Macaca fascicularis: one gene and its partners. Each later gene encodes a partner of the first gene's protein in a complex. Links are inferred from orthologs where the notes say so. Each region holds a gene or a part of one and is shown on either strand. Other genes may lie near its edges.

Evidence for each region.
Region 2: the proteins of TNFSF13B (region 1) and TNFRSF13C are in contact, whole or in part, in a crystal structure (PDB 1OQE), measured with the Homo sapiens proteins. The link is inferred for Macaca fascicularis from reciprocal best matches to the Homo sapiens genes TNFSF13B and TNFRSF13C. Residues at the interface, in NP_006564.1 of Homo sapiens: Ser162, Tyr163, Asp203, Thr205, Tyr206, Ala207, Met208, Gly209, His210, Leu211, Thr228, Arg231, Cys232, Ile233, Pro264, Arg265, Glu266, Asn267, Ala268; in NP_443177.1 of Homo sapiens: Asp26, Leu27, Leu28, Val29, Arg30, Val33, Leu37, Leu38, Arg39, Pro41, Arg42.
Region 3: the proteins of TNFSF13B (region 1) and TNFRSF17 are in contact, whole or in part, in a crystal structure (PDB 1OQD), measured with the Homo sapiens proteins. The link is inferred for Macaca fascicularis from reciprocal best matches to the Homo sapiens genes TNFSF13B and TNFRSF17. Residues at the interface, in NP_006564.1 of Homo sapiens: Ser162, Tyr163, Lys204, Thr205, Tyr206, Ala207, Met208, Gly209, His210, Arg231, Cys232, Ile233, Glu238, Pro264, Arg265, Glu266, Asn267; in NP_001183.2 of Homo sapiens: Tyr13, Asp15, Ser16, Leu17, Leu18, His19, Ile22, Arg27, Ser29, Ser30, Asn31, Thr32, Pro33, Pro34, Leu35.

The regions. Positions count from the first base shown.
Region 1 is NC_088391.1:99,006,852-99,009,671, reverse strand, and holds the end of TNFSF13B (tumor necrosis factor ligand superfamily member 13B), read right to left. Parts: intron 2,258-2,820; coding exon 2,145-2,257; 3' UTR 616-2,144; downstream 1-615. UniProt on the Homo sapiens protein: Cytokine that binds to TNFRSF13B/TACI and TNFRSF17/BCMA. TNFSF13/APRIL binds to the same 2 receptors. Together, they form a 2 ligands -2 receptors pathway involved in the stimulation of B- and T-cell function and the regulation of humoral immunity.
Region 2 is NC_088384.1:9,679,325-9,683,725, forward strand, and holds the start of TNFRSF13C (tumor necrosis factor receptor superfamily member 13C), read left to right. Parts: upstream 1-1,599; 5' UTR 1,600-1,629; coding exon 1,630-1,765; intron 1,766-1,990; coding exon 1,991-2,311; intron 2,312-2,860; coding exon 2,861-3,042; 3' UTR 3,043-4,401. UniProt on the Homo sapiens protein: B-cell receptor specific for TNFSF13B/TALL1/BAFF/BLyS. Promotes the survival of mature B-cells and the B-cell response.
Region 3 is NC_088394.1:12,668,611-12,672,792, forward strand, and holds the start of TNFRSF17 (tumor necrosis factor receptor superfamily member 17), read left to right. Parts: upstream 1-1,265; 5' UTR 1,266-1,480; coding exon 1,481-1,607; exon of another isoform or gene 1,608-1,709; intron 1,710-2,346; coding exon 2,347-2,493; intron 2,494-3,622; exon of another isoform or gene 3,623-3,713; coding exon 3,714-3,991; 3' UTR 3,992-4,182. UniProt on the Homo sapiens protein: Receptor for TNFSF13B/BLyS/BAFF and TNFSF13/APRIL. Promotes B-cell survival and plays a role in the regulation of humoral immunity. Activates NF-kappa-B and JNK.

The DNA of each region.
Region 1 (2,820 bases):
TTAAACCGTTTTTCTTTATAAATTACCCAATCTTGAGTATGTCTTTATCAGCAGTGTGAAAACAGACTAATACAACCTTCTAATTACAGCAGAGCGGGGGTTGGGCCCAATATGTGATAAGAGGTTGCTGCCAATGAGATTGCCCTCAGTGATGCCTTTTGTGATCCCTACAAGATGCTTGTCCTGGTTGAATTTTACCACCTCATAGTCAGTTCCTCAGGAGAAGAATGCTTGGCCTGGTATTAGCTTTTCTCAGTTATACATCTACGTAATATTATAAGTATATATATTAATACTCAATATTATACCAATAATATATACTTAATATTGTACTAAAAATCCCACAAAATATACTGTACTGTTGGATAAATTCAACTCTAAAGGTAATAATATAACTGATGTCTCCTTCTAAATAGTTTAAAATGAAGTAGTTAGACAGATGCAGATGTGAACAGATCCTTTTTCAGATATGGAAAATATTCACATTTCCAAACTATCGTATCCTAACACAAATTAATTTATCATGTTTCACCTGATTTTAAAAATAACATTTAATTATACAGTGAGAATGCAAAAGGTGGGTGTTGCTAGACAAACTCAGTCAATGAGGCAAAAGGCAATGAAGGTTTTTATTTGTTAATCCATATTAGCAGCAACACCAGAAAAATCATTAACCACCCCTCCTAGCATTGAAACTCTGACTCCACTTATCGCTTCTTCTTTTTAAATTACAATGTAAAACAAAATGAACTGCAAAATATATTTTATTTGAACTTACTGAAGTTGAAATCATAGGAACCAGATATCTAAACAAAGTTTAAACTTAAAGTTTAGATTTTAAACATAAAATGTAAATGGTTTTCTTTGTTTTGAAAAGTATATCCTTGAAAAGTATTTTGATATAGATGGGAACATTTTCATAGACTGGCATCTACTTTTCCACCTACTGTTTAATGAAGTAAACTGTTGAATGATGTAAACTGTTAAATGAAGTAAACAGTTAAAACTAATGACATAAAAGACAAGCAAAGCAAAGGAAACATGTTATAAAATATAAGTATTACAGCATTCTTAAGTATGGTACTTTATAAAATGAAAACCGGGATGATGTCTTCTGAGATATCAACATATTTATAAGGAGTACATGGTACGTGACATACTTCAGGATGCCAAGAATTTTAATTAAAACTCAACCTCTATAAAGTGAATATAAAACTAATAAGAGGAATATTTTTAAAGGTTGGGATGTGTAAACTATAATAGCAGCAGTTTGAAACAGAAGAGGAAGAAATAAAGAGAAATTACATTACATTAGTATAAATGTATTCAGTAACTTCTGTTGGAGATTATGTTGTTATATATGAACAATTATAGTTATTTTTCAATCAATGCTTTACATGCATAAATTGAAATTACCTGATATTAAATGTTTCTGAAATTCATTATAGGAAATACACATGAGCATAAACAGATGAGGATATTCTCTCTCTCCCGTGAAAAAATGTGTGGGTAATATATTACATCATAGATAGAAATCGCATACTTGAAATAACCATAAAATACTTAAATAGTACATGGATACTATTTTCAGCCAAGTTGTTTCATATTTAAATTTAAACTTTTAGTTATTTCATGTAACTACTGCAAGATTTCTAAAATTTTTATTTTTTACTTTTTGTAATGTTGACCAAAAAGGAGGGAGTGCATTTAACATAAAAATAGAAAATGAATCCTGAGATTTCTCATAAATGTCTTAATGTCCTAGAGATGTGGGCACTGGTTCCATAGTAAATTATGGATGCCACATTTTACAAAATCCTTACTGCCCCTTTGAATTGTGTCCTTCCTCCAAGATAAGAAGCTATGACTCAATTGTTCAGCATGGAATTATAGTGAAAAGCCTTTCTAGTTCTATCTTTCCCTAAATGGGCTCTGGTTTCTTGTAATTCACATGACACTCTTTGGCTGTGGCTGTCTGTTAAATTTCCTGTTTTGGACTAGTTTCAGCAAACCAAAACAAATAGCTCACAGAAAAGCCAACGGTAACTACTTTTTTTTTTTTTTGTGGTATATCCAGTTAGATTCTTTCTTCTTAGAGGTACAGAGAAAGGGAAGAAAATAGTTACAGACATGGTATAAGTAGGTCACAGCAGTTTCAATGCACCAAAAAATGTGACATCTCCATCCAGTGATATTTGTGCATTTTCTCGTGGTATTGCAAGTTGAAGTTCATCTCCTTCTTCCAGTTTTGCAATGCCTAGGAAAAAATGATTTACAAGAACTATAAGTGGTTATACAACAGAAAAGAAAAAAACCTAAATAAAACTATTTTGTTCTGTAAAAAAAAATGTTAACATAGGCATCCACACTTCAGAATATACCAGTTGGCTTCTAAACCATTGCAATTATCTTAGCCTAAAAAAATTTAGAAGAAATAAGCAAAAGGAGTTACAACAGATATGTATGAATTTATCACCTACTCTTTAAAAAATGGAGTTCCCCAAAAGAAGCCCAATATATAACTTTTTAAAAAATTAGGTAAATCATGGCACATCCCTTGATAGAATATTAAATGATTAGTGATGATTTTTATTTAATTTTGTTGACAAGGAAAGTTTTTATAATAATGTTAAATAAAAACATGAAAAATTACACACACATATATATACTAGATATTCCTAATTATATTTTAAACATACATATGAAAAGCATAAATATTAAAAAGTGAAGAAAACACCATTTCTTAAGATACCACATTTATTAATATAGTTTTTCTTGAGAGTTCAGACTATGGGTTTAAGCATTATCTGGATTATTTTT
Region 2 (4,401 bases), on another chromosome or scaffold:
CTGAGACACGGGTGACAGACTCAGTCTGAGACACGGGTGACAGACTCAGTCTGAGACACGGGTGACAGACAGTTGGGGACCCCAAACACTGGGGAGCAGAGATAGACAGGAGAGACCCGCAGTGAGAGACGGAGGTAGCGGGAGAGGACACACAGCCCTGGAGAAAAGGAGCCAGTGTGGGCAGGCTTCCCTCCACTGCAGTCACAGGTCCCTTGCTCATAGGCAGATCTTCCTGGGCACTCTCTGCACAAAGCCCCAGTGGCTCCCTCGTGTCCTCCAGCCACAGTCCAAGCTCCCTAATGTGCTAGATAAGGCCCCAGTCCAGCCCTTTGGTCCCAGCACTCCCTGGACTTCCTGTTTGGGCCTCCAAGCATTTGCTCCCCTTTGGCCTTCACCCCCATCTGTTCCCTAGACCTCACTCCATCTGGCAAATACTTCACCATCACCCCCTCCATGAAGCCTTCTAGCCCACCTTCCAGGATGACATGAGCCGGTACCCTTGCTGCGAGGCTGTCTTCCCCCATCAGCACAAGTGTGAAATTCCCTTGGGGCAGACCCACATGCTACTTGGGACTGGTACAAGTGTCTGATGTCAGGCTGGGCACTGTGGCTCACGCCTGTAATCCCAGCACTTTGGGAGGCCGAGGAGGGTGGATCACCTGAGGTCAGGAGTTCCAGACCAGCCTGGCCAAATGGTGAAACCCCGTCTCTGTTAAAAATACAAAAATTAGCCGGGCGTGGTGACACATGCCTGTAATCCCAGCTACTTGGGAGGCTGAGGCAGGAGAATCGCTTGAATCTGGGAGGCAGAAGTTGCAGTGAGCCGAGATTGCACCACTGTACAAAGCCAGACTCCGTTTCAAAAAAAAAAGCAGGTGTCTGATGTCCCCAACCGCCTCTGTCCAGGAAGGGCAGGAGGACTCCCTAGAAGCGGAGATAAATGGGGTGGGAGAGATAGTGGGGAAGCATCCGAGGTCATGGAGCAGCCTTGGCTAGAGGGAGCAGAGGAACCACTCACGGTCTGTGTCCTGGCTCCATCCACCTCCCTACCCAAGAGGAGGCTCTGGTCTGCCCCCAGACGGTCCCAGCACCCAGCAGAGGGCCCACCCAGGTGGTGCTGGTTGAGTGACTGAACTGGGGAACCATAGGAAGAAAGAGAGGCCAGGCCCGGCGCGGTGGCTCACGCCTATAATCCCAGCACTTTGGGAGGCCGAGGCGGGTGGATCACGAGGTCAGGAGTTCAAAACCAGCCTGGCCAAGATGGTGAAACCCCATCTCTACTAAAAATACAAAAATTAGCCGGGCGTGGCGGTGGGCGCCTACAATCCCAGCTACTCAGGAGGCTGAGGCAGCTAATTGCTCGAACCTGGGAGGCAGAGCTTGCAGTGAGCCGATATCGCGCCATTGCACTCCAGCCTGGGCAACAGAGCGAGACTCCATCTCAAAAAAAAAAAAAAAAAAGAAAAGAAAGAAAGAAACAAAGAAAGGGGGGCCCCAGGAGAGCTCGGTCCCACCCAGCAGGCGGGGGCAGGGCAGGGCAGAGTGTTCCCCCCGCCTCCCCGCTTCCTCCCCGAGGGCCCCGGAGGCCCACTCAGCCTCAGTCCCCACTTGTGCGGAGGCGCCGGCACCATGAAGCGAGGGCCCCGGAGCCTGCGGGGCAGGGACGCGCCAGCCCCCACGCCCTGCGTCCCGGCCGAGTGCTTCGACCTGCTGGTCCGGCACTGCGTGGCCTGCGGACTCCTGCGCACGCCGCGGCCGAAACCGGGTAAGGAGGACCCACCGGGCGCGCGGCGCCGGCAGCCGCGGGGAGGACGGGGCCCCGACCGCCACGGCGAAGGCAGAGCCCCGACCCCTGGGGGCGCCGAGGGCTGAAAGGACCCTGTGGGCAGGGCCTGGAGGGGCCCGCCATCACCGCGCGGCCCTCACCGCCGCCTCTCTCCCTCCCCTTGTCCACCGCCCCCCCCCGGCTGTCCCTCCCCTCCCCGGCCAGCCTCGCCCCCCTCCGCCCCTCCCCGTCCCCGCTCCTCCCTCCCCTCGGCCCCCTGCCCTCCCTCCCTGTCCCCTCCCGCAGCAGCCCCGGCCAGCAGCCCTGCGCCCAGGACGGCGCTGCAGCCGCAAGAGTCGGTGGGCGCGGGGGCCGGCGAGGCGGCGCTGTCCCTACCCGGGCTGCTCTTCGGCGCCCCCGCGCTGCTGGGCCTGGCACTGGTCCTGGCGCTGGTCCTGGTGGGCCTGGTGAGCTGGAGGCGGCGACAGCGGCGGCTTCGCGGCGCGTCCTCCGCAGAGGCCCCCGACGGAGACAAGGACAAGGACGGTGAGTTCCGTGTGTAGCGGAACCAGTCCGAGCGGGGCACAGGGGCTGGGGTGTCGGGACGGCCTAGGGGGTGATGCATGGCCCCTGGGAGTAGTGAAGGGCTGTAAGGGGAAACGGAGACAGAGAGCGGAAAAGAGTTTGCTCTGAGGAGCTCAGGCTGGGGACGGAGACATAGTCCTGCGCCTGAGACCCTGGTCGGAGCCAGGAACAGCTCTGCCCTGCCATACCCCAGTGTGAGGAAGAGACAGTTCGCGGGAAGGGGGCCCCGTCTGAAGGAGGAGCCTGTCCTGCCCTTTGGGAGTCTAACGGAGCTTGATTCCCCCATAAATCCCTGCAGGGTTTGCCAGACAGCCCCAGCTCCCCAACTCCCTGCCCTGCCAGCTCCCCACTGGCCAGGCCTCTGAACTCAGGGTCAGCCATGTGCCACCCCTCCCCACCCTGCAGTGGGCTTCATTTGACGGAGTACTGCCCCTCCAGAGGAGTCTTCTAGGGGAGGGAGAGAAGGCTGTGACCCAGTACCGAGCCTCTATCCCCTCTGCCCTGCCCCAGAACCCCTGGACAAGGTCATCATTCTGTCTCCGGGAATCTCTGATGCCGCAGCTCCTGCCTGGCCTCCTCCTGGGGAAGACCCAGGAACCACCCCACCTGGCCACAGTGTCCCTGTGCCAGCCACAGAGCTGGGCTCCACTGAACTGGTGACCACCAAGACGGCCGGCCCTGAGCAACAGTAGCAGGGAGCCGGCAGGAGGTGGCCCCTGCCCTCCCTCTGGACCCCTGCCAGGGTCTTGGAAATCAAATTTTGCTCTTCACTCCAGCATGCACATGCCCTCTTTCTGGGACCAGGCTAACCCTGCAGAAGCACAGACACTACAGACCACAGCGTTCAGCCCCCATGGAGTTTGGTGTGCTCACCTTTGGCTTCAGACCACACCATCTTTGACAGCCCTTGAAGGTGGTAGCCCAGCTCCTGTTCCTGTGCCTTCAAAAGGCTGGGGCACTATGAGTAAGAGACCGCTTTTAAAATGGGGAAGGCACCATTAAGCCAAAATGAGTCTGAAAAAGGACCAAGTGGGAGGATGCCTAATTTGTAGCTGGGTAGTTTTTTGTGTTTGTTTGATTTTTTTATTTTTTGAGACGAGTCTTGCTCTGTCGCCAGGCTGGAGTGCAGTGGCATGATCTCACCTCACTGAAACCTCCAACTCCTTGGTTCAAGCGATTCTCCTGCCTCAACCTCCTGAATAGCTGGGATTGCAGGCATGCACCACCACAGTCAGCTAATTTTTGTATTTTTAGTAGAGACGGGATTTCACCACATTGGCCAGGATGGTCTCGATTTCCTGACCTCGTGATTTGCCCTCTTCGTCTTCCCAAAGTGCTGGGATTACAGGCATGAGCCACCGCACCTGGTCTTGTTTTGTTTTGTTTTGTTTTGTTTTGTTTGAGACACGGTCTTGCTGTATCACCCAGGCTGGAGTGCAATGATGGGTCCCCAGTACATTGCAGCCTGGGCTCAAGCGATCTTTCTGCTTCAGCCTCCTGAGTAGCTGCGACTACAGGTGCTCCACCTTGCCCAGCTAATCTTTTTTTTTTTTTTTTTTTTTTTAAAGACAGGTCTGGATATGTTGCCCAGGCCAGTCTCAAATTCCTAGCCTCAGGCAGTCCTCCCCAAAGGGCTGGGATTATAGGCATGAGGCACTGGGCCTGGCCGCTATTTCTTTTTTTTTTTTTTTTTTTGAGATGGAGTCTCGCTCAGTCCCCCAGGCTGGAGTGCAGTGGCCAGATCTCAGCTCACTGCAAGCTCCGCCTCCCGGGTTCACGCCATTCTCCTGCCTCAGCCTCCCGAGTAGCTGGGACTACAGGTGCCCGCCACCTCGCCCGGCTAGTTTTTTGTATTTTTTTAGTAGAGACGGGGTTTCACCGTGTTAGCCAGGACGGTCTCAATCTCCTGACCTCGTGATCCGCCCGTCTCGGCCTCCCAAAGTGCTGGGATTACAGGCTTGAGCCACCGCGCCCGGCCTGCTATTTCTTTAATACCTGCCCTCAGAGCCGTCCTGCTTTTAAACTGATGCAAATGGTGGCAGTGCATAATC
Region 3 (4,182 bases), on another chromosome or scaffold:
CAGGCCTGTTTGCAACTTCTGGGATATACGAGGTGTTAGCAGTGATTACTTGTGGATGCTTGGAGTGTGGATTTTTAAAATGGTTTTTTATCTGCTCATCTGTATTTGTAAATTTTCAACAATGGAACATAGATTATTGCATTATTATTATAATACCCCAAACCTATCTTCCCTTCAGCCCTCTTTCCACGAGCTCTTACCCTAAATGTCTCTTTTTCTGTCAGTGGCATTGTGAGTCTTCCTTAGTGCATCACCTCTGATCTTCCTGTAGAGTTTTTTTTTTTTTTGAGATAAGAGTCTCAAAAAAAGACTCTATCTCAAAAAAAGATAGATCCTCACTGCAACCTCCGCCTCCCGGGTTCAAGCACGTCTCCCTGACTCAGCCACCTGAGTAGCTGGGATTATAGGTGCCTGCCACCATGCGTGGCTAATTTTTGTATTTTTAGTAGAGATGGGGTTTCACCATGTTGGCCAGGCTGTTCTGGAACTCCTGATGTCAAATGATCCAACCACCTCAGCCTCCCAAAGTGCTGGGATTACAAGAGTGAGCCACAGCGCCCAGCCCACACCTGACTAATTTATTTTTTTATTTTTATTTTTATTTTTGAGACAGAGTCTCACTCTGCCGCCCAGGCTGGAGTGCAGTGGCCGGATCTCAGCTCACTGCAAGCTCCGCCTCCCGGGTTCACGCCATTCTCCTGCCTCAGCCTCCCGAGTAGTTGGGACTACAGGCGACCGCCACCTCGCCCGGCTAGTTTTTTGTATTTTTTAGTAGAGATGGGGTTTCACCGTGTTAGCCAGGATGGTCTTGGTCTCCTGACCTCGTGATCCGCCCGTCTCAGCCTCCCAAAGTGCTGGGATTACAGGCTTGAGCCAACACCTGACTAATTTTTAAAATGTTTTAGTAAAGACAGGGTTTTGCCATGTTGCCCAGGCTGGTTTTGAGCTCCTAGGCTCAAGTAATCATTTTGCCTTGGCCTCCCAAAGTCCTGGGATTACTGTTGTGAGTCCCTGCGCCTGGCCTCAATGTTAAGATCTTAAGGGGCACAGCACAGACCTTGTCTTGTCTATCTCCCTGGCACCTCTCACACAGTACAGCTCATTAACAGATGTTCCAGAAACTGTTACTGAACACGGCTTGATGCCGTGGGCTTGTCTGCATCTTGCAACTGTCACCTGGCTGAGAAATTTCTTCTATAAATAGCAGTTTCTGTTTCAGATGTGATTTGCCCCGATATTTACACCCCGTCTCTTACCCCGTCCACGACTCAAACTTAGAAACTTGTATTAGATGTGGTATTCAAATCCTTAGCTGCCGCAAAGAAACAGACGGCCCCGTAAGAACCCACGAAGCAGGCCAAGTTCATAGTTCTCGACATTCTAGCTGCTCTTGCTGCATTTGCTCCGGAATTCTTGTGGAGATATTACTTGTCCTTCCAGGCTGTTTTTTCTGTAGCTCCCTTGTTTTCTTTTCGTGATCATGTTGCAGATGGCTCGGCAGTGCTCCCAAAATGAATATTTTGACAGTTTGTTGCATGATTGCAAACCTTGTCAACTTCGATGTTCTAGTACTCCTCCTCTAACATGTCAGCGTTATTGCAATGCAAGTAAGTAATATCGCTTGAACGATTATTCATTGGTGTGAACTCTTCTGTCTCTATGGACTGCTTATTCAGAGAATCAACATAATGGGCATGATGGTGAGTTTTCTTGAATCAAAAAGAGAAAGGAAGCAAGGCAATAATTTTAACGTTTACAGAAACAACGTAATTATTTGGAACTCAACTCGATATGATTCAGCACTATTAGCAACATAGATTTTAAAAAAAATATCAGCTCTTGTAGTTAAGGATATTTAGAATTTAAAAGTCAATGTTCATTAATTAAGGTGATTGAATGGAAAAAATCCATACTTGATTATTTTGCTATCAAAATAATCCATAATTGATTATTTTAGCAAAATAATCAAGTATGACAGCCGGGTGTGGTGGCTCACACCTGTAATCCCAGCACTTTGGGAGGCTGAGGCGAGTGGATCACCTGAAGTCGGGAGTTTGAGACCAGGCTGGCCAACGTGGTGAAACCCCGTCTCTACTAAAAATACAAAAATTAGCTGGGCGTGGTGGTGCAGGTCTGTAATTCCAGCTACTCGGGAGGCTGAGGCAGGAGAATCGCTTGAACTCAGGAGGTGGAGGCTGCAGTGACCTGAGATCGCGCCACTGCACTCCAGCTTGGGCAATAGAGCAAGACTTCATCTTAAAATAAATAAATAAATAAATAACAACAATAAAGGATGTGAATATTATGTTATCAGCTCATTATCTGTCTGACATTCTTTTCATAAAGGTATGACCAATTCAGTGAAAGGAATGAATGCGATTCTCTGGACCTGTTTGGGACTGAGCTTGATAATTTCTTTGGCAGTTTTCGTGCTAACGTTTTTGCTAAGGAAGATGAGCTCTGAACCATTAAAGGATGAGTTTAAAAACACAGGTTGGTTTGATGGTGAATCTTTGAAATCTGTTTCCAGTGGATGGCTATTGTGAGTTTCAGTTCCTTTTCTTTTTTTAGCATTGACTATTTCACTTCATTACAGCCCTTTTGAATGTGTTAGAGCATAGTTATATTAAACGAGCTTGGTAGAGGCGAGCCATCTTCACTCTGATTTTGACACCTTGGCAGACTTTCTACAATGTCAGCCTTCCCCAGGATTCTTCCCTTATTAATTACTCTATTGAAAGTACTAAGGCTTTCTTGGGAAACATCAGTCTCTTTGTCTGAAGTTAGCACATCAATTAAATGCCACATTATCAGAAACTCCTAGCCAGGTCTGCTACTGTCAGGAAGAGCATATTTGTCAAGATCTAAGGCCATGTTATTATACAAGTATGTGTTGTTTGCTTGGGTGAACACTTTACTACTGAAAAATGTTAGAAATGAATAACCACTTGCTCCTGAATTATTTGAGGAATCATCTAAAAAATAATTATCTTTTTTAAGCAATAGAGAACTAGTTCCAGAAAAATGAATGTTCTACTTAAGTGCCTCTTAAGATAAAAATACTTCTGCAGCACCTTTGCTCGTGATTGGATTCCCTAGTATGTACAACCACTGCCCTATTTTTGTATGCATTTATGTATGTATGTATGTATGTATTTATTTAGAGACGGAGTCTCGCTCTGTGGCCCATGCTGGAGTGCAGTGGCATGATCTCAACTCACTACAGCCTCTGCCTCTTGGGTTCAAACGATTCTCCCACCTCAGCCTCCTGAGTAACTGGGACTATAGGCATGTGCCACCACGTCCAACTAATTTTTGTACTTTTTGGTAGAGACAGGGTTTCATCATGTTGGCCAGGATGGTCTCAAGTTCCTGAACACAACTGATCTGCCCTCCTCGGCTTCCCAAAGTGCTGGGATTACAGATGTGAGCCACCGTGCCCAGCACATACTCATTCTTTTTTACTGAAAAGATCTGTTTCAAGCTGGGTGTGGTGGCATGGAGCTGTAGTCCCAACTACTCTGGAGGCAAACGTGGGAGGATTGCTTGAGCCCAGGAATTTGAATGTAGCCTGGCAACATAGTAAGACCCCATATCTAAAAAATGAAAAAATCTCTCTCACATTGCTTTGAGTCCCGATGTGTACTGGTAAGACTCTCACGATCACACACTCTGTCAAGTTTAGGTTAATGTTTCTGTTTCTGCATAATCAGGATCAGGTCTCCTGGGCATGGCTAACATTGACCTGGAAAAGGGCAGGACTGGTGATGAAATTGTTCTTCCAAGAGGCCTGGAGTACACGGTGGAAGAATGCACCTGTGAAGACTGCATCAAGAATAAACCAAAGGTTGATTCTGACCATTGCTTTCCACTCCCAGCCATGGAGGAAGGCGCAACCATTCTCGTCACCACGAAAACGAATGACTATTGCAATAGCCTGTCAGCTGCTTTGAGTGTTACGGAGATAGAGAAATCAATTTCTGCTAGGTAATTAACCATTTCAACTCCTGCAGTGCCACTTTAAAAATCTTTTGTTGGAATAGATGATGTGTCAGATCTCTTTAGGATGACTATATTTTTCAGTTGCTGATATAGCTTTTTGTCTAACCATGGAAACTCTTTATGTTAGATATATTTCTCTAGGTTACTGTCGGGAGCTTAATGGTAGAAACTTCCCTGGTT